5 linked regions of the Macaca mulatta genome follow. The protein of the gene in region 2 purifies or fractionates together with the protein of the main gene of each other region. This does not show direct contact. Links are inferred from orthologs where the notes say so. Each region holds a gene or a part of one and is shown on either strand. Other genes may lie near its edges.

Evidence for each region.
Region 1: the proteins of FBXL17 (region 2) and KBTBD7 purify together in Homo sapiens (co-immunoprecipitation; 3 studies listed by BioGRID and IntAct, counting the BioPlex papers as one, with this or other methods). This does not show direct contact. The link is inferred for Macaca mulatta from reciprocal best matches to the Homo sapiens genes FBXL17 and KBTBD7.
Region 3: the proteins of FBXL17 (region 2) and ZBTB18 purify together in Homo sapiens (co-immunoprecipitation; 3 studies listed by BioGRID and IntAct, with this or other methods). This does not show direct contact. The link is inferred for Macaca mulatta from reciprocal best matches to the Homo sapiens genes FBXL17 and ZBTB18.
Region 4: the proteins of FBXL17 (region 2) and ZBTB10 purify together in Homo sapiens (affinity purification with western blotting; 3 studies listed by BioGRID and IntAct, with this or other methods). This does not show direct contact. The link is inferred for Macaca mulatta from reciprocal best matches to the Homo sapiens genes FBXL17 and ZBTB10.
Region 5: the proteins of FBXL17 (region 2) and KLHL9 purify together in Homo sapiens (co-immunoprecipitation; 3 studies listed by BioGRID and IntAct, with this or other methods). This does not show direct contact. The link is inferred for Macaca mulatta from reciprocal best matches to the Homo sapiens genes FBXL17 and KLHL9.

The regions. Positions count from the first base shown.
Region 1 is NC_133422.1:20,614,057-20,618,290, forward strand, and holds the start of KBTBD7 (kelch repeat and BTB domain-containing protein 7), read right to left. Parts: upstream 2,894-4,234; 5' UTR 2,585-2,893; coding exon 527-2,584; 3' UTR 1-526. UniProt on the Homo sapiens protein: As part of the CUL3(KBTBD6/7) E3 ubiquitin ligase complex functions as a substrate adapter for the RAC1 guanine exchange factor (GEF) TIAM1, mediating its 'Lys-48' ubiquitination and proteasomal degradation.
Region 2 is NC_133411.1:116,700,514-116,704,137, reverse strand, and holds the end of FBXL17 (F-box/LRR-repeat protein 17), read left to right. Parts: intron 1-189; coding exon 190-330; 3' UTR 331-3,023; downstream 3,024-3,624. UniProt on the Homo sapiens protein: Substrate-recognition component of the SCF(FBXL17) E3 ubiquitin ligase complex, a key component of a quality control pathway required to ensure functional dimerization of BTB domain-containing proteins (dimerization quality control, DQC).
Region 3 is NC_133406.1:5,079,094-5,083,488, reverse strand, and holds the start of ZBTB18 (zinc finger and BTB domain-containing protein 18), read left to right. Parts: upstream 1-1,559; 5' UTR 1,560-1,711; coding exon 1,712-1,724; intron 1,725-4,068; coding exon 4,069-4,395.
Region 4 is NC_133413.1:91,031,315-91,034,924, forward strand, and holds part of ZBTB10 (zinc finger and BTB domain-containing protein 10), read left to right. Parts: intron 1-3,295; coding exon 3,296-3,472; intron 3,473-3,610. UniProt on the Homo sapiens protein: May be involved in transcriptional regulation.
Region 5 is NC_133420.1:77,885,107-77,889,382, reverse strand, and holds the start of KLHL9 (kelch-like protein 9), read right to left. Parts: upstream 2,881-4,276; 5' UTR 2,310-2,880; coding exon 456-2,309; 3' UTR 1-455.

The sequences.
Region 1 (4,234 bases), on a different chromosome or scaffold from region 2:
ATAATTTTACAAACTATATTTAACTTAGAATATAAAGAACTGACTAGTGTAAAATTTTGAAAATCTACCACTTTATTTTGAAGGAAAGTATACATCCTTCAAAACTCCACCAACAATTCCTAGTCCAGTTTTCTATTGTACAGATTAAAAAGTTAAATTCCTTGTGGCACTAACCAAAACTTAAAAATTAACAGAAGACTGAATTAATTAAAAAAAAAAAAGCATACTAACTAATCAAAACAATCCACTGTGCAATGAATATTTGAACAATGAAAAAAACCTACCAAGCATCCCAGTCAATTACATAGTTCTTGCTTCCATATTTTAATTTTGGACTTTCAGGAAGGTATATTATTAAACAGGTCGATTTTGTGGACTGTTTAAACCTTGTAGTATTTCAAAATATTACCCTTTCTAAACCAAATCTGTGGTCCTGGTCAACTTTTTTTTTTTCAAGAAAAAGAAAGGATATGTGTTTAAAATACATTCCGTAGCAGTAGAAACATCTTAGTGTCTCAAAATCTATTTACAAAGAACCCTGCTGATCCTGTGCATTTCGCTGAGGTGCTACTTGCACCCAGACTTCATCATCTGAAAAAGAACTTGAACTTCCTGACTCAGAGTCCAGCTCACTGAATCCATCTAAGTCCCATTCAGTACTAGACTCACTCCGTGCATCATCTTCCTCAGTAATAAAACTCTGACCAGGTTCAAGGCAGGAAGGATAAACACGGGCACAAAGGCAAATAAAGCCAGAGTCAAACTGCAAAAGGCCTAACATAGTACCTATATTAATCCACTGATCTTCCCTAGTATCATACTCATACACTGTTACTCGGTTCTTTTTCCATTGTGGGGTTGTAGAAGTGATGAGAAGCAACTTTCGGTCATGATTGACAATCTGGTAGTTGTGGGTCTCTGAATCCAAAGGAATATTACTAATCCGCCTCCATTCTCCCCTAGCTGGGTTGTAGACCTTCATGACTGGGATGTCACAGATACAATAGATTTCATCATTGAAAACACATGCTTCCTGAAAGTCACTGCGTTTAAGAGAAGCACAGTTCAGCCACATATTGTGGCTAGGATCATAGCAGAGCATGCGCTTACTGTTGACAGCATAAAGATAGTTCTGAACCACTATGAGTTCAAAGGAATAGAAGGAATGAGGGACAGGAGCCACCAATGCCCACTGGTTTCTCTGAACACTGTAGCATTCCACTTCCTTCAACTTAACTCCAGTAATAGGGTCTCGCCCCCCCAAAATGTAGATGTAGCCATTGAGATATGCCACATCCATGCCCTCACGACACAGCAAGCGATCTGCAAGTTGCTGCCAACTATTCTGAGCTGGTTTATACACCCAGAGGTCTTTCCTTGGCTGGGCAGCTAGATAGATGTCATGGTCTGGGGAGACACAGACAGCTGAGGAGGTAACAGTCTTAGTGTGAGCAAAGCTGGTCAAAGGTGATGGCATTGTGTAAATGTCCCCTGAGTAAGGGTCATAGCAGAGAAAGGGATCTCTGGGGTGTCCAAAGAAGATCACCATCTCCTTGGCACACATACCCAGTCTCTGGGGTGGATTTTCTGCTGCAGATACAAGAGAGTTGCTGCTGCTACTGCTGCTGCTGCTGCTGTTTGGCACTGGCACCAGAGACTTGTACAACAGGTCACCATAGCGCATCTGCAGGGCCCCTTCAATAACGTCCAGGCAGTACTTCTTCACAATGGGCTTGGTCAGCAGCCCTTCTAAGTAGTCCTGATCTTCTTCAGTGAAGTGCATCCAGCGCACGCACTTGAAGACTTCCGCAGCACTGGGACCCCGCTCCTTGGGAGCAGCCTCCAGCCACTGCACAGCTACATGGCATACAGTCCGCTCACTCTCTATGTCCAGACTATCCAAGCGCAGGACAGCCAGCAGCTGGGCCAGGGTCAGATCTGCTAGAGTCTCTTCCCGAATTGAACCCATTCGGCTGAGCTGCTTGAAGTTCTGAGCTATATAGGACTGGGCCTGAGATCGAAGCTTGTGATGGTCGAAGGCGTCTGCAAACTTGAGGATGGCGGTGCAGTTGGTCAGGTCAAGACGTCGGGCTAAGAAGGAGGCACAGGCTTCCCGCACATACTCCAGTTGCAGCATGTCGGAGGCTGCGTACAGGCGCTGCACATTGGCCTCGCTGAGAGACACACGACCCGTGTAGCAGTAGTCGACCAACACCTCGAAGGACTCGGCGTCCACATCGTGCATGGTCACGCTGGCCTGCTGGCTCTCGTACATGCCACCTGTGAACATGCTCTTGAAGTAGGGACACGCAGCTGCTAGCACGTTGCGATTGCAGGAAAAGAGGCGACCCGTGCCAGGCCCGCTGCCAGGCGTCACCACCTCGATGGTCACATCACACAGCAGCCGCGCGTCGTAGAAAGACTTGAGCTGTGCCAGCAGGGCTGCAGAATGGGCCGTGTCCTTTAATTCCTCTGGACCCGTGAAAAAGGCCGAAACCGAGGGCTTGGAAATCCTCTTGGGCCGCCTCCCACCGCGGGGGCTGGCGAGGCGGCGAGAGCGCGGGGCGTCTTCCCGGGACTGCATGGTGGAGATGGCGACGGGCGCTGATAGCGAGAAAGGCTGCCGGACCCGGCTCTGGCTCCTCCTCAACCTTCCCTCGCAGACGCTAAGACAAGCCGCGTCCTGGAACAGACTGCGGCACGGGCCGCACTTCTGAATTCAGCCCTAGCCCGCGGTGAGGCCTCCCTTTATTGCGTAGACAGTGGCTGACTCACCCTCTCTCACTCCCGCGCCCTTTCTCCGCCTCCGCTCGCCCTCACAGGACCCGCTGGCTTGGAGCCGCGGAAGGCCCCACTGCCGCGCTGGCGATCCCGCTAGGCGCCCAGGAGAACTACCGCTTCCAGGTTGCCTTTCGCGCCCCGAGGCCTGCTGGGGCTCTCGGACGGCCGGGCGGGGACAGAGGGAAAGAAACCGCTTTGCATGTTGGGAGTAGTAGTTTGTGTAATATCGCGAGCTTTCCTTTCGCTGACTGCCCTAACAGTAGAAATTAATTCTGGATATGATGGTGAAGTGACGATGTCTCACTATTGTTGTCCAGGCTGGTCTTGAACTCCTGAGGGCTCAAATTATCCTCCTGCCTCTGCCTCTCAAAGTGCTGGGATTACAGGCGTGAGCCACCGGGCCCTGCCAGTATTTCATAGGGTTTTGTGTGATTGAATGATACGTTACATAGGATACTTAGATACATATATTTTTTTGGTTAGAAGAACAATAAAGCGTTACCCCGTGCCTAGAATGTAGCCAATAATTGTTAGATTCTCTTTTATAATTTATGATAAATGAGGCACCCACTAATTTGAAACCAAAAAATTTTTAAAATTTTAAAAATTATTTTAAACCGCAAAATTTTACAAAGAACTTAGTTTTTAATTTTTATTCTTTTGAAAGATTTTGAAGGGCATTAACTATTTTCAATGTTAAATGGTACGTATTGGCCTTGTTTAATAAGGATGTCTTAGACGACTAGGTTGAGGTCCTAAAGAACGGTGTTAATAGATGGCCTCAAATATGCAAATCGGGCATATAAAAATAGATTATTTGCTACTCTCACTAACATTTCATCTCTGGGGAGCAGGAATATTTTCATTAAGCTCCAAATATGAGTGTTTTCAAGTCGTCTAATACAGCCTCTTTCACTGCCATTCCACATATCAATTAACAGATTCTGTAATTGCCTTTATTAAGGAGTTTTAGGGAGTATTTAACTCAAAATATTTCAAGAAACAGACTTTGTTCTGTACAAAAGCACGTGATTCTCAGAATTCAGCATTAGTACATGCCCTGACATTCCTTGAATTAACATACAGTATAGCCTATGCTTTACAAAAGTCTTTTATATTTGCATTGATCAACAGTTAAATCATCAAAATCAAGTATTAGAGATTTGAGGCAGGAAAATAGGGTCTGGAGGCAGGGAACATAAGGCCGATTCACACTTTAGCTATAACAAGAAATATCCTCTCCATAGGGTGTATGCCGAGTAAATGAGTTTGTAACTTTAATTCATTCTCTTCGTTTACATAGGGTATACACCAAGTAACCAGTGAATCCTCTAGAGGGTATTTAAACCTCCAGGAATTCTGTAACAGGGCCCTTGAGCCCTGTGCTGGGCCTGCGCCCACACTGGAGTGTACTTTCATTTTCAGTACATCTCTGATTTTGTTGTTTCATTCT
Region 2 (3,624 bases):
TGGGAGATCAGAAAGGTCAGATGAAAGGGGACACATATCTTCTCACAAAACCCTTCCTCACATCGCTAGGAGGAGCAAAGCCAGGGCTCCTTGTGCCACCGTGAGTCAGCCGCAGCACATCAGTGAGCATGGGCAGCGGCATGGTGTTGGTGGTCTCTGTGCGTGATGATGGCTCTTCTTTGTTTGCAGGTCAACGAAGTGACGGTGGAACAGCTGGTGCAGCAGTACCCCCACATCACCTTTAGCACCGTCCTGCAGGACTGCAAGAGGACCTTGGAGAGAGCCTATCAGATGGGCTGGACCCCCAACATGTCTGCCGCCTCCTCCTAACGCTCCTGCCCCGCCTAGTCCACTGGCATCATTCAGCAGAGCAAAGGAGAATTGTACATTTGGGGGGCTGATCTCTCGGAAGGGTTTTAACTGTCGCCTGTCTGTATGTGTTCAAGTATGTGTATTTGTGTCTTGTTTGCATACTGTATACCAGAAGTGCAGTTGTCATTTGTTCCCAAGTGAGCTGGCTTTTTTTCTTAGAAATTAAAGATTATGAAAGCCACAAACTTTTTAGTTTTTAACTTCAAAGGCTTCTTTCTCTTTAAAAAAAAAAAAAAGTTTTTTTAATATAGAGTCAAAAAATTAGATGTATTATTTTGAGCTTCTAATTGCTGCCACTTGGAGATGTCCAAATAAGAAGGCCTTCTTTTTACATGGGATGAATTGTGCACTTCTGCTGATGACGACTACAATAGAAGTGATGTTACACGTACAGGCACTTACATTCTCACATACTCACACATGTGTGCACATCTACACCGGGGCTCTCATCTACTCCAGATCATTTCCTGACAGAGAAGCCTTCTTCCAGGCCACCGAGGTAGCATGTTATCCACTGTGGCACTGCCTAACTCCATGCATCCTCAGGTGGCCAACTTGCTATCTGGTAGGTGACTTGGGGACTAGAAAGAATAAAGCCTTTTCTAAATTGGTTATATGGAGGCAACAATCTGAACTCCCCTGGCCAGCTCACAAAAATTAATTATACATTATTCTACAAATGCATTCTGTTGAGCACTAAATATTTTAGTTGGTTTTACGTTAACATTGTGTTAGCTTTTATTTCCTGGATAGTAACTGGTCAGGATATATTTTAATGATATTTGAAACTAATCTTAGCATTGAAGCCACCAATGTAATTAATGGTGTGCAATTATTTTAAGAAGTACAGATCATTTCATTATTTTCTTAATTTTGGTAATTATTAAAGTGTATTTCTGAGATACGAGAGGGTAGTCACATTAATAGAAGATTCATGAGTGAGATATAAGTAGACAATCTTTCTACTGTTGTTGCTTTTTTTGCTTTGCTTTGGGTTTTTGAACAGGTTTTTTGGATATGTGCATGTTGTCATTTTGGACTAGTTCTCGTGCTACTACAAAGATCTATTGCTAGCTAATATATGAGTTAAGAAGGAAAATTAGAAAATCCGTTCATTGAAATTCTGTTTACACTTGTCAGAAATAAGCATTTCTTTGTTTAGTTAAAGATTGCCAGCTTCAGTTAAGACAAGACCTATCAGTAAATGAATATATGTTTTGATTTAACACATCTTTACAATTAATTCATATTAGGGACTCAGGCTCAAATAACTGTTCCTGTGTCTAGATTTATAATGAGGACATCAGGGAGCCTTTTTAAGCTAAAGAGTGATTATCTTTCACAGCAGAACTAGAAACAAAACCCTAACTTGTGAATTTGCTATTTATTTTTCCCTGAGTGAATATAACTGTTATTTGGTCTTTAACAGATATACTGAGGTTTGAGTTTCACTTTCTTTAAGTCTCACATTGCTAACATGACATTAGCTGTAAGAAGCAAAAGATAGCTTTACATTTGAATGCCATTTACTGATTTCTAATGATTCTCTTTTTTTGTAAACAACTGTTTCCTTTGATTATGTCAACATGTTTCTGATGTGGCATTTTTGTTTTAATCCCAATCAGTTAGGAAATCTAGTCAGTAAGCACCATGAGTATTCTTCCCGTCACTAAATGAGTTTCTAATTTAATTTGAAGGGAATAAAATTTGTGTAAGAAAAAAGCTGTTTAACATTAATAAACTGTATTTCTTCTTACACATTGAACTACATCATTTTCGTATCTACTTCCCCACCACTGAAATAGCTTATTTCACAATATTTTAACTGATTTTTAATCCAAAACTAATTTATAAGACAGTATGTATAGTAATAGTAGCTTGAGGGAATATGCAGAAGTTTAATTTTTATATATGTCATACTATATTTTAAATAGTTAAAAAAGACAAAAGAAGGGAGAGCCATCTATGATATAGATGGTACCATTTCAGTTCAAAGTTGTAATAACCTTTGGAGTGTTACAGTTTGGTTGTCAAATGGTTTCAGAGTGTATAATTGATTTTTTAAACGTTGCATTGTTTGCATCTAAAGTACAGCACTATAACATGCTTTAGCTTGCGGGGTGGGGTGGGGTGGGGACTTGCACTTATTCTCTAAAATGTTGACTAATCCAGAAAGCCTGATGCAACATAATCTGGAAAACTGCTTTGGTACATTTGTAGAACTCCATAGAAATACCATATCCAGCCTCAAAGCATTAATCTCAAAAAAAAAAAAAAAAAAAAAAAAAAAACCCAGCCAGAAAAAGGCATCACCTTGAGTGATCCTGTGATGGTTATTGAATGTGTTCTCATTAGATGCTTTGAAATGAGGCTTAAAATAATTTTTCTGGGCAATATAGAGTTTTTTTTTTTTTTGCTTAGAATGTCATAAATACATGTGAATACGTTTAATGCAGGGCTTTTTATTCTCTCCAAAATGTCAACAGTATTTTCAGAATAAAGACTATGAAATATATTGCTGTAGTGGAAAATTCTGGTCCTTTGTCTTTAATGTCTTTTTGAGTGGATAAAGAAAATTCACCCGGTTTGTAGTTTCTATATTTCCGTGAATCTTTGACCTTGCAATGGGTTGCAATAAAAGAGAAACAAAACACTGTGTCTTTTGTTTTATTTTAGAGACAATAAATGACTGCCCTGATGCTGGTTGGGTATGATGCATGCAGTGGTCTGTGCTTTTGTGTGTTTCACTACAGACTTATGTAGGTTTGACTAACCCAGAATAATAAACGAGACTGAGTTTAGGAGGTTCTAATTGGGCGGGTGATTATAGAGATAAGATTAAAACCTCAAGCATTTAAATAAGTGTGTATTAGTCTGTTCTCACACTGCTGTAAGGACATACCTGAGTAATTTATAAAGGAAAGAGGTTTAATTGACTCACAGAAAACCTAAAATCGTGGCAGAAGGGGAAGGAAACAAGTCCTTTTTCACAAGGTGGCAGGAGAGCGAAGAATGAGAACCAAGCAAAGGGAGAAGCCCCTTATAAAACCATCAGATCTCATGAGAGCTTGCTCAATACACAAGAATGGCACGGGGGAAACCACGCCCACGATTCCATTGCCTTCCACTGGTCCCTCCCACCACAGCTGGGGCTTATGGGAACTACAGTTCAAGATGAGATTTGGATGGGGACACAGCCAAACCATATCAAGTGAGTTGTTTAAAATCGCATTTCCTAAACAGTCATCATTT
Region 3 (4,395 bases), on a different chromosome or scaffold from region 2:
GGTGAACTACGTAAAGATTTGCATTGCTTCCCCACTCGGCATCCCCGCCCCCACCTCTCTGAAAAACAAAACCCCAACCTCACAAAATCTCTATGGATCCGCGGTAGCGAGACGTGAAGGGGTTGATTTGTGGAGTGGGAGTCGCTGGCCCATTGCGGTGCTTGGGACTCATTAAACTGTCACTCACCCCCCACCCCACTGGGTAAATGGGGTGATTAATGTCTGATATACTGGAATGGGGCGAGGGCATTTATGGAGAATAGGTGGTGTGGCTGGAAAGAAATTGATCGCCCAAGGATGTCTCCTGGACTAAGCGTTCATAATTATGTCACTCACCGCGAAGTTGGAGAAAGTTAGGTTTGTGACTTTGGGAAAGCGAGAAGGACAGGAGAGTCGTCGGGTTTTGTTACTATTTAACTCTCCGCCACGGCTTTCTAATGGGAACGAAGTGGTTATCACCAGGGCTGGGACGCTGACGCCTCAGGCCCCAGTTCCTTTTCTACCCCTCGCCCTCCCAAGAGTCTGAGGAGATGTATTTGACATTCAGAGATGTCGCAGCACCCTGCCCGGCACCGGTCAGCCCAGCCCGGGTCGCGTTACAGTTTCATCAGCTTTTAGAAAAGACCCACAAACTCTGGCTGAAAAGTTCTCAAACTTACTAGACCTGGCTTCCCCCCACACAAAGATTTTCTTGTGATCATTAAACATGACAGAGTGACACCCCCCACACACACAAAAAAGATTGTTAAGGGACACAGATCAAGGGGAAGGCAAGGTTCTGCTTTTTCTGAGCAGAAAGATCAGATATGCAGGTGCAGCATTCATTTTAAGTGACTGTAGCAGGTTGTATCAGTTTATTAATTGGTCTCGTTGAACTGAAGTACTTTCCAGGATTTCAGAAAGTGCAGTTTCAGCTTGTTGGTACTGAGAATTGAAATTTGCATTGACTGTGGCAGTGTAGGAAATTTTTCTGAGAAGGTAGTTGTAGATAAGTCATTAAATAAGAGTGAAATAATAAGGTGAACCAGTCCGAAGTAATGGTTCTGAAGAAGTCTGCCAACGTTTGAGACATGTATACCATTGTCTCAGCAGAAAAAAAAAGTGCGGTAATAATGTTGAAATGGGACTGGAGATGTCAAATGGGTTGGTTTAAAAATATCCCTAAACTGCCTTAGAAACTAAACGTTGGAGTTAAATAAAAGTGAATCTGGATTTCCTGAATAGCACCGTGGCTTGAGTGTGCTGTCAGTATGTAAGCCAGTCCACCAACTTAAGACAGAAGTGTTGCTATTCCATAAATACAGTAGAACTCCATATGCTGAGTTTTTCAATTTCTTCTGTTAGAAAGTTTGGAAAAAAAGGAAGACTTTGAAGTATTTTGTTTATACTAACAGAAGAGAAAAGTTCTCCTAAGAAAAAGCTGGTGGCAGGAGTGTAGAGGAGTAGCATATGGCATTAAAAGGAGCACAGCTGGAGGTAGCATTTCCATCTGAACATGATGTCAGAGCAGCTGACAGCCTGCCATCCCTCAGCCTTTTATTCTAACACACAGACAGGGAGTTAGTGTGTGCGGATCTGTGGTGGAGAAGGTATCTCATTCCTCTCTAACATCATCTCCACTTTGCATCTGTCTCTCTTAGTCTGCTTTTTTTCCACCGATGTAACAGACCTGGAGCCAGCAGGACTCAGAGGAAAGGACTTAATCAGGTTTATGTGTCCTAAAGGTAGGAGTAGCAAGAGATTAGATTGAGCATATTTCTGTTTTGGTGTTTTGTTTATTTAATTTTAAAAATCACATTACTTTTCTAACCCAGTTTAGGAATAATATATGAAATTGAGTATTAAATGAACATCTTACTGGAGTTGAAAGTCTTGAGCTTGTTTAGTTTTAATTTTTTATCCCTTTTACTTGAGCGAGTAAATAACTTTAATACACAGAAATATGTCAAGTTTTGAAATGTTAAGAAAGGCTTTAAAATACTGCTTTTGGAAATCACGTTGGATTAAAATGCTTTTTTGTTGTTCACTGCTATTTAGATTTGACTGGGATGGTGGTGGTGGGGAAATACTAAACTGTCTGGAATCCAGCATTCAAACTTATATGAGAAGATTATTCTAGTTAAGAAGCTAGATTGTTGTGTAATTAATTCCACTGTGAAACTTTATTCTTCAAAACATTGAACAGCACTGCTGAAACATACAGCTGTAGTGCTTTTGAAACTGAAGGTTTTTAAGAAGAAGAAAAAAAAAACTTTTGTCCCCAGGAGAATAGTTTGACTGGTTTCCTCACTTCTCTTTCAAATATATATTTAAGAGATCTTTTATTTCAGCATAACAATAATTATTTGCAGGAGTTTTTGTGTTAGCGACTAATTTAGAACTTGTAGATTTGAGCTGCCTGAATTGGCCAGACAGCTGTAATCGCACTCCTCTATTCTTAATCTCTTTATCTGGGCAGCAGCTGCCATATGGCCACAGTCAGCTGGATCAGATGTTTATAAGCTTCCTTCTTCGTCCCTCTCTGTCCTCTCAGCCTCCTAATTTGATCACGGCTACCTTGTGAGCTGCCCTCCAATCTTTATTTTTAGCCTTCTCAAGGATTAGGATTGATGTTAGCTGTGGGGCACTTAAAGTGATTGTATTGTAAATCTTAGTTTATTCTAGCAGTGGCATCTTGCAGAATGTATTTGGGGTTAGGATAAAGTTTTAGTCTGTCTTGGGCAAAGTGTAGAAGAAGAAGAAGGAGGGAAGTAATTTCTGAATATTAAATTAAGTGTATCTATTCCCAAAATGCACTTGCTGAGATGGGTGGTGTGGAGCCTTGCTTCTGGTCACAGGAAAGGGGAAGTCGGGTCTTTCTTTTTCAGGAGTTTACCCACTGCAGTTGAATTCTGACCCTTTGTACATCTTTGCCTCTCCCCTCCGTCCATTTCACTCTCCCTCATCAGAAAACCAGGGCAATGATGAATATTTGCAAGAATAGAAGCTAGTGGGAAAACAAAACTATATCAAATTAGATTGAAACAAAGTATTTTCTGTTGGCTGAGGTAAGGCAGAACCGGGGGGGGGGGGGAAAAGTTTCTCTTTTTCTAAAAAGGCTTTAAAAAAAAAAAAGTTGAACCTGTAAAGCTTTTGAGTTTTATTTAAGCCTTATATGCTTTTATTTTTAAAAGTTAGAATTAATTTTAATAGGAAATTCATTTTGCCTTGCAATGGATCAAAGTTTAGATGAGAATTTTCAGAGTTAAATAAAGCCCTCTGGTTCCTAATATTCTAAAAGTACAGTTTCTACGAAGAAATATAACAATTTTTTTCTCAGTTCATTTTGAAAAATCTTTGGATTTGTTCATAGTAAAGATGATCTTTTCCATCTGCTGGTGCAGCTCCTGATCTCGCACATGTGTGCTGTACCTGCAAATCTGAAGGCATTAACATCTGTTTTTATACACAGGGCTTTTGTTGTACCACTCTGACTTTAAAAGTAAGTTGTTTGCTAATTTCTGGACTAATTATGCAATTTCATTTTTTTTTCTTGAATCAGCCAAATGTGTGTGTGTGTTTAAACTGTGCTTTCTAAGTACAGTCAAGTAGCAAAAGTAATAAAAGGAAAAGGATGGTTGAACAAGTTTTCTTGTATGTTCCAGGATATGTTTGGGACTTTGTTTGTTTATTATATGAGTTGTTTCCTTTGAAATTAAAGCTATTTTGTAGGTTTTGTAGGACATAATTTGATAAGTAGAGTTAGTTAAATTTCTTCTGAAAGAGATCTAAATTCTTATTCTTAGTGAGAGACTGTAGTTAAAGGAAGGCTTTGAAAGCTTGGGTTCAGGGAAGATGGAGATGCGTCGGAGGCTGTCCGGCGGGGGTAAGGAGTTGAGAAAGTGCACGTTTTCCTTCTCGCGTTTAGGTCTCGTCCGTGTGATTTGGTAGTGCTGGGTCATAAGCCTGATTGAAATTCAGGGACATGTACCACGGCGGCCAAGGCGGAATTAATTTTTTTATATGGGGACTAGAGCACTGAAAAGTTGTTCCCGACCAGGCTCTAATGAGAACTTCCTCTCTCCCCAGGTTATGAAGACAGTATGGAGTTTCCAGACCATAGTAGACACTTGCTGCAGTGTCTGAGCGAGCAGAGGCACCAGGGCTTTCTTTGTGACTGCACTGTTCTGGTGGGAGATGCCCAGTTCCGAGCGCACCGCGCTGTACTGGCTTCATGCAGCATGTATTTCCACCTCTTTTACAAGGACCAGCTGGACAAAAGAGACATTGTTCATCTGAACAGCGACATTGTTACAGCCCCCGCTTTCGCTCTCCTGCTTGAATTCATGTATGAAGGGAAACTCCAGTTCAAAGACTTGCCCATTGAAGACGTGCTAGCAGCTGCCAGTTATCTCC
Region 4 (3,610 bases), on a different chromosome or scaffold from region 2:
TTTTGGGACCAACCAGAAATTAGAGTATGTAGTATGTGTTAAGTGATAAGCAATTTTAAATTTCTTATACGGTGGTTATCTAGGAGCATGTTCTAGAAGATGCATTTAGGCTTGAAGTTATGAGCATGCATGTTTTCAGATAGTGCATAGAAAGCATGTATGTGTGTGTGTACATTAAAACGTGACAAAACTAGTATTTGTTGAAGATAGATATGGATGTTTATTGATTGTTTCAGTTTTACTAGCTTTGGAATTGTTTTCAAAGTTGATGAGAACAGAGACAATGAGGTACTTCTTACAAAAAGTAGTCATGGGCTCTGAATTCAGTATGTACTGACGAAAATAAAGCCACATTTCTGAAGAAACTGCCTTACTGTCTAAAAGAATTTATAAAACAAGTTTTCAGATGTGTTGAATTTTAAAGATTTTGTTTGTACAGAAAATTGCTAACAGCGCAAGAAGATGTTATTGCACTTGCTTTCTCAGTTTTGAAATCTAGTCCAAGAATGGGTTTAGTTGGGGGTGTGTGAATTCATATGTAAAGTTTTAAATTTGTAAATCTTTGATATGGGGTTATTCCTCTTAAAGGGGACATTTAGATTCATTAGTATTTTTGCATCTGAGATCAGCCTTTGCTTGATGATTTTGATGTCAAAAACTTACATTGCTTTTTCCTTAGTTTTCTATTATGGAATAATGTACCCAGAAGGATATTATTGATCAGTAAGCACCATTTTGAAGAGCTCTATGACCTCAATGATCCTTAAGTGTAGTGAATTACAATGACAGTACCTTTATTCAGGCCACTCTTGTAATTCCTACAAGTATTCTCTGTTGTAAGAATTAGGAGAGATGGAAGAAATTTGGGGCAAGGTTTACTCAATTTGAATTACCATTTTGTGTTGCAGATAGAGTGTTACATTCCTTGTTATCATGGATGTTGAATCTCGGATTTTCAGTTTACAAATCGTTTTAGGGATATTCTTCTGTCTTTCTTTTGAGATGGGCTCTCGCTTTGTCACCCAGGCTGGCCTGAATCTCATGGGCTCAAGCGATCGTCCCACAGCCTCTCAAATTACTGGGATGACAGGCACCAGCTACTGTGCCTTGCCTATTTCCTTATTCTTATATGTTGTGAATAATTATAGATATTAGAACATCTAACATGTCTTTTGATACTAGTTTCCCAAGTTATTTTAAGCAAGTCAGAAGAACTTATTGGCATGTGCTAGATAACATTTATTCTACAAGTAATTGTAGGACATATGTCTTAGACAGTAGAAAAACCAAGGCAAGTAAGATAGGCACAGTTCTTGCTGTCTTGGAGTTTGACTTTGTACCGATTTAGACAAGAAATATGGATCATAAAGCTCAAACTTTATTTAGAAATGTGAAACTAACAGTAGGTTGACCTCCAGGCTACCACCTCCATCCCATTCTTTATCCCTCACACAGAAATGCTTCACTTTAGGATTCTTACAGCTTACTTCCAAACACGAATTAGGTGCAACTATGATGAATTATAGTTGAATTATATGTAGCTATGGGTGCAGGGAGCTTTCTTTACATCAAAAACCGGTCAAGATATTCCAAGTACAGCACAGTTTACAGTAATAGTAATGATGTGCAGTTTTAAAATACTTTAGAGACATTTTTACTTTGTTGGGTATTAAGACTTTCACCAAAAGGAATCTTAAGTTATCTTAATTTTTAAGAGGAACAACATGTCTGGGAACATATATGGGAAATGATTCTTAGCAAATCCATTTGGGTAAACATTCTTTACTTTTGAAACCGTGATGCCCATGGGAGGAAAATGTATTATTGCTGCTTGAGTGAACTGTATCTTGGCAAGGAGTGTTTTAGGCAGCTTAAGTGCTTTGAATTGGGAGCATGCTTATCCATGGATGAGGAACAGCACAGAGGTCAGTATGGTTGGAATAGAGTGACTGAAAGGGTGGTTGGAAGCCAGGGCTCCACCAGGTAAAGCTCTGGAAGATACTGAAAGTCTCTAGCTTTTACTGTGAGGGTGGGTAGTCTTTGCAGCCTTGTAAGCTGATGGTGATCTGCCTTAAGGTAGTGTTTTAAAGAATCTGTGATTTCTCTCCTCAGAACACACTCCAGGAAGGCAACAGTGGAAGTAGGGAGACAAGTTTTTGGTGGCTACTGAAGACAGTCCAGGGGCTAGAGCTCACGATTGATTGGATCAGGGTGGCAATAGTTGTGGAAGATTCTGGATATATTCCTATTGCCAAAAGGTTCCTGGTCCAAGGAATTACATTAAAGATGGAATTAAATCCAGTGGATATAATTCCCACCCTTGCTAATCTGAAGATCCTTAGACACATGCATTATTCTATTTTGATTCTGTCTTCTGCACGTTATTTTATTTAAGGATGGAGTTAGAAAGAAATTTCAGTGAACCCTGAGAGCATTCAGTTACCTTGCCCTAATATGTCTGAAACAACAATGATATAGTAATAGAACTTTAAATTTTTAATTATCCTGTGTATATTCTTTATTCTCAGTCCATTTTTCTATACTAATCTTAAAATTATGTGCCTGTCTTGGGTTTGTAATAAGGAGAATATCCCATTTGATAGCTGGGCTTTAGGGTGATATAATCTCAAGTGATAGAGTAGTTAGAAAAAAGCAACTATTAGGAGTTCTGGTTTGAATATACCCATCCTTTAAAAGGGTAATTTCTTGTGGCGTCTGCACAATTAAATGATACTCATGTTTTTTTCTCCCCTACCAGCACCTTTTTTTTTGTTTGTTTGTTTTCGTTGAGACATGGTCTCACTGTCACCCAGGCTGGAGTGCAGTGGCGCAATCTTGAATCACTGCAACTCCTGGTCTCAGATAGTCTTCCCAAGTAGCTGGGACTGCAGGCACCCACCACCATGCCCAGCTAATGTTTAAAATTTTTTTGTAGAGACGGAGATGGAGTTTCTCCATGTTGCCCAGGCTGGTTGCAAACTCCTGGGCTCAAGTGATCCTTCTGCCTCAGCCTCCCAAAGTGCTGGGATTATATGCATGAGCCACTGTGCCTGGCCCATGATTTTTTTTTTTTTGTAAACTGAATTTCTTCTATTATAGTTGAATAGTATTTCATTTAATTGTGATAATAAAGTAGGAAGACATCTCAATTTTAGACTAAAATACAGTTTTATTTAACTCATTAAGAAGTTCTATCATAATGCTCATAGGATATAAATATATTTTCTGTTTTCTGACTCTGATAAGAGATAGATCTTTATTACCATTACTAATTCAGACTTTTTACTTGTACTAGGTACTTCACATGATTTCAAGTATGGTTTGATGCCTGGTCCTTCAAATGATTTCAAGTATGGATTGATACCAGGTACTTCAAATGATTTCAAGTATGGATTGATACCAGGTGCTTCAAATGATTTCAAGTATGGATTATTGCCAGAATCTTGGCCAAAACAAGAAACTTGGGAAAATGGCAAGTATTAGTCAACTAAACAAATACAAAATTATTAAATAATTGTTAAGAATTCAAAGCTTTCATATTCTGCATTTTTTTAAAAACAAGTATCAGTAGTTCTACATAATTGCTGTTCTCAGAGATAAGAAGTTTTGA
Region 5 (4,276 bases), on a different chromosome or scaffold from region 2:
TGAATGCAACCACACAATCGAGTAAGTTGACAGACATATCAAAAACTATGAAAAGAGGGAGGTAACTAGTATTAATACTGGGCAACCTTTCGTTAATTTTAGGTTACAGTGACCTCCCTCTGACATTTTGGAGTCAAAGATGAAAACTCGACTTTGAAGCATAATGGACATAATTACACATTTACCACAGTCATCTACAATTTTATATAACATCACAAAAAGACATCTAAACATTTTTCTACATCTTTTTTTCTCATTTGTTAAAACAGCTAGCTATGTTAAATACATCTTCAGAATGCATTTGTTAGTCACTTGATAAACATACTAAAAGCCAAACAAGACGAATAACATCAGTTACCTTTATATCTAATAACTGTACCAATCACTGTAAGAAGATACAACTGAAGAAGTATTAGATCACCCATGATGTACTGCAAAGGTGTTACACCTTAGACCTAAGAATGATCTGAAGGTGCTGAAAGAGGTGATTCTCTAGAAGGTGACCCAGGGTTTTCTTCAGGTGGAAAAACTGTGAGTGTACAAGCTCGAATGCCACCAAGTGACTCTGGAAGATCAAAAACTTTATGCCACTCATCTTTTTCTGGGTCATATTTCTGGACAATTTCTACCATACAACGATTATTCCAAGAATATCCACCAACAACGTAGATTTTATTTTCAAAGACCGCAACTCCAACATCACTTTGGCCTCTTAACATGGCGGCAATTGGGGTCCACTGGTCAAGGGTTGGTGAATAGTATTCACAGCTTAGAACATCATCATAATCACTTGTTCCTCTGAAGTGATTGCCGCCAATGACATAGAGCTTATCTCCAACCGTACACATGCAATGCAGACCTCTGACTGTAGTCATTGGAGCCTTTTGCATCCACTTATCTGTATCTGGGTCAAAACACATAAGCTCATTTTGGAAAGTGTCATGGGTAATTCCTCCTGAAATATACATTAAGCCTCCATATACTGTTCCAGCATGGCCATAGTGGGGTTCACTCATTTTTGCAACATAGCTCCACTCATTCATTCTTGGGTTGTAACATTCTACTGTGGCCAGTTCACCAGCTGCACTGCGCCCACCAACTGCATACAAATGTCCTTTGAGGGCACTCAAGTGAAAGAATGTACGCTTTTCATTTAATGATGCAACCTGCATCCATTTATTATACCGAGGATCAAATCTGAAAACTGTATCAACAGCAGTTTTTCCTTTTGTATCATAATTACTTTGACCACCAACTACATAAAGAAAGTTTCCAATGACAGCAATACCATGCTGGTAACGGGGAGCATCCATCGGGGCTAAAGATCTCCATTCTTGTGCCCTTTCATCATACATTCGTAATTCTTTACTGACAACCAGCTGCTGCCTCAAAACTCCTCCTAATGTAACCAAGTGAGTGGAGTCAGATCGAATGGCAGTTCTATCTGACTGCATCACTGGCTGCATATATGGCATCATTTGGTAATTGCTGGCTTCCAAAAGCAAATTCACGCAGGTATTGTCTGTTCTCATGAAATCTACTGTCTGCACGTAATTGATGAGATCCTGTGGTGTCATCAGTGGGAATCGAATATTCTTCATTAATTTTGCAGCATAATCCATCCGAGGGTCTTCCAACCTTAGCCAGCGACAGGCTGCCTTAAAGAGTTCGAGTTCGGTACAGTGCTTAAGACTATTACTGGAAAGCACAAAGGCAAGCCGTTCAAAAGGGAGTTTTAGAAACTCCCCAGTACTCAATAAAGCAGGAAAGTTCTTCAGGATGAAATTATTAACATATTTATCCACTTCTATGAGATTGTAGGTGTTAGCAATTCGTCCAACCTCAACACAGTTATCTAAAGAGACTCCTGATATAAGAAATACTTTACAGAAATCCAAAACGGGTAATATTTGTAAAAAACTAGCAGCTTCAAGTGTGTCCTGAAGATTGTCCATATTAAGAGAAAGTTTTGCAGTATAAATAAAATCAATGATTTTCTTCAGACCAACCTTGTTCACCCCATGAAGCTTAATGCACATCAGATCTTGTTCTTTCATTCCACCTGTGAACATAGCTTTGAAATAATCACTAGCAGACGCCATCATAGCTCTGTGAACAGGGAAGATTTCATCTCCATCACCTGGTACCAGAGTCACATCACAAAGCAATCCTTCTATTCTAAGCTGATCAAAGCCTTGCAGTACCACCGAACTGTGTGTATTGCTGGTAAAAAAGCGTGTGGTTCCTGCCTTACAAGGCTGCAAATGGGCAGAGACGCCCATTTCGCCGTTACCAAGGGACACTTTCATGTGAAAGCTTTCCTCTTGCACAGAGATGCAAGCCGGAGAAAGAAGTTATAACCGGAATGTTTTACAGGCAACGAGGTGTCCACAAAGAACAGAAAGCTCGTTTCCTTATCAAGGGAAGGCAGCCACTGCGGCACCCCTCAGGCCACGCCAGTCAGTCATCCACTGAAAATCGCCCTGTAGCAGGACCACAAAGGGCTGTGGACCTCAAATCTGATTATTAGACAGATGATTCATCACCTGAAGGCGGTTAAATGACCCGGTTCACCTCGTCCGGCCTGCGCTGCCGCTCCTTCTGCAGTTCCGCTTCGGGCAACGAAAAGGCGCCGCCACGTACTGTGGCTCCACGGCCCGCTCGGCGGCGGGTCCGGGAACCTCAGCGAACGGCCCGCTGCGCCCTCCGCTGTACCTAGAGTGTCGCAGCGGCCACCGACCTGTCTTTGAGCAAGGACCTGGAACACAGGCCTGGGACTGGGCTTGGGCCTAGAATACCGGCCTAGCCCCGACGCCGAGCCGCTCCTTCCGGAAAAGCTTACTCCCAGGATCCCGCGGGGTGGGAGCGGCCGTAGCGGCTACTGCGGCTGCGCGGCCTCCAGAGCTCGTCAGTGGGCGGGCGTGTGGGGGTGGGGAAGGGGGAGGAAGTGTGCGGGAGGCGGGGAGGGCGGGGGTTGAGGAAGACGAGCTGTCTGGAGTGGGCGCGAGCCCGGCTCCTTAGATCTGCCTTGTATGTGGGACAAAATAGGACAGAATGTGTGCACGTATATTATGCTGCATGTTTGATGTAAGTTTTTCACATATCTGAGCTCTTACGTTCCCCAAATGCATACATTTTTTAAAACTTTGCAATTCCTAGTTTCTGTTTTTTTGAATAACAGTGAAACGCGGCTTTTGTATAAATTGAGAGGAAACCTGGATGCTTAATTTTTTTTTTCCTCTACAAAACAATAATTGTTATCCCACATTATGTAATAGATACCTTAGTTACAATTTTGGTTCGTATTTTCAAATTTGTTATAATTTCAAAGGCAAAATATTTGTCTCTACTAGATTGTTACTTTATTATATAAATGGTATAGTCTAAATTTTTGGCTTGAAATGCCTTTGTTTTCCATAATTTTAAAAATGGCTACATAATTTTTCAATAACATACTATAGTTTCCTTTGCCCATTGTTTGTTCCTGAATATGTACCTTCTTATCCTCCATTGTTTTATAGAATCTGTAGTAAATTTACAGAATCTGGTAGCAAAATTTTAGCCCTGTTATGGATAATATTTAGTAAAATGCTGATCCAAGACAGTATTTCCAAAATATTATCATGAGCAATGTTTGTGCCTTTCCCTTCTGCTGACTTTTCCCTTTTTAAGTATTTTATTAATTTACATTTCTTTAATTAGTGGTAAATTTAAATTTTGACATACAAATCAATGTATACTTTGACACAGTTTCTTCCATTTTCCAAATTTTGAAGTTTATGTCTTTTAAGTCCTTCTAGTTCTTTAAGTGTGTGCAAAGTAAGAATAGTCATGTTTTTATTACACTCTCCTCATTTTTATGTAAAAGATAGCATACCATGTACACTGTTCTGCATTTTTCTTTTTTCACTTCAAGATCTTCCTGAATTACTATAGAGAGCTTATTTATATATATATATATATATATATATTTTTTTTTTTTTTTTTTTTTTTTTTTTTTTTTGAGACGGAGTCTCGCTGTGTCGCCCAGGCTGGAGAGCTTATTTATATTTTTAAACAATTCTATTGTTGCCCTCAGAGTTGTTATAAGTTATTTAACCAGTGCCCGATTGATGGACAGTTCATCTGTTTTGAATGTTTTCTATTGTTTCCGATGGATGGCAGCAAAATTCAGAAGGCTTAGACTACCACTGACCTCCACAAGGTGCTCCAGCAGATTGTCAACCTATTCAACACAAGAGGTTGGTTGGAATGAAACTGGCCTGGAGAAATTATT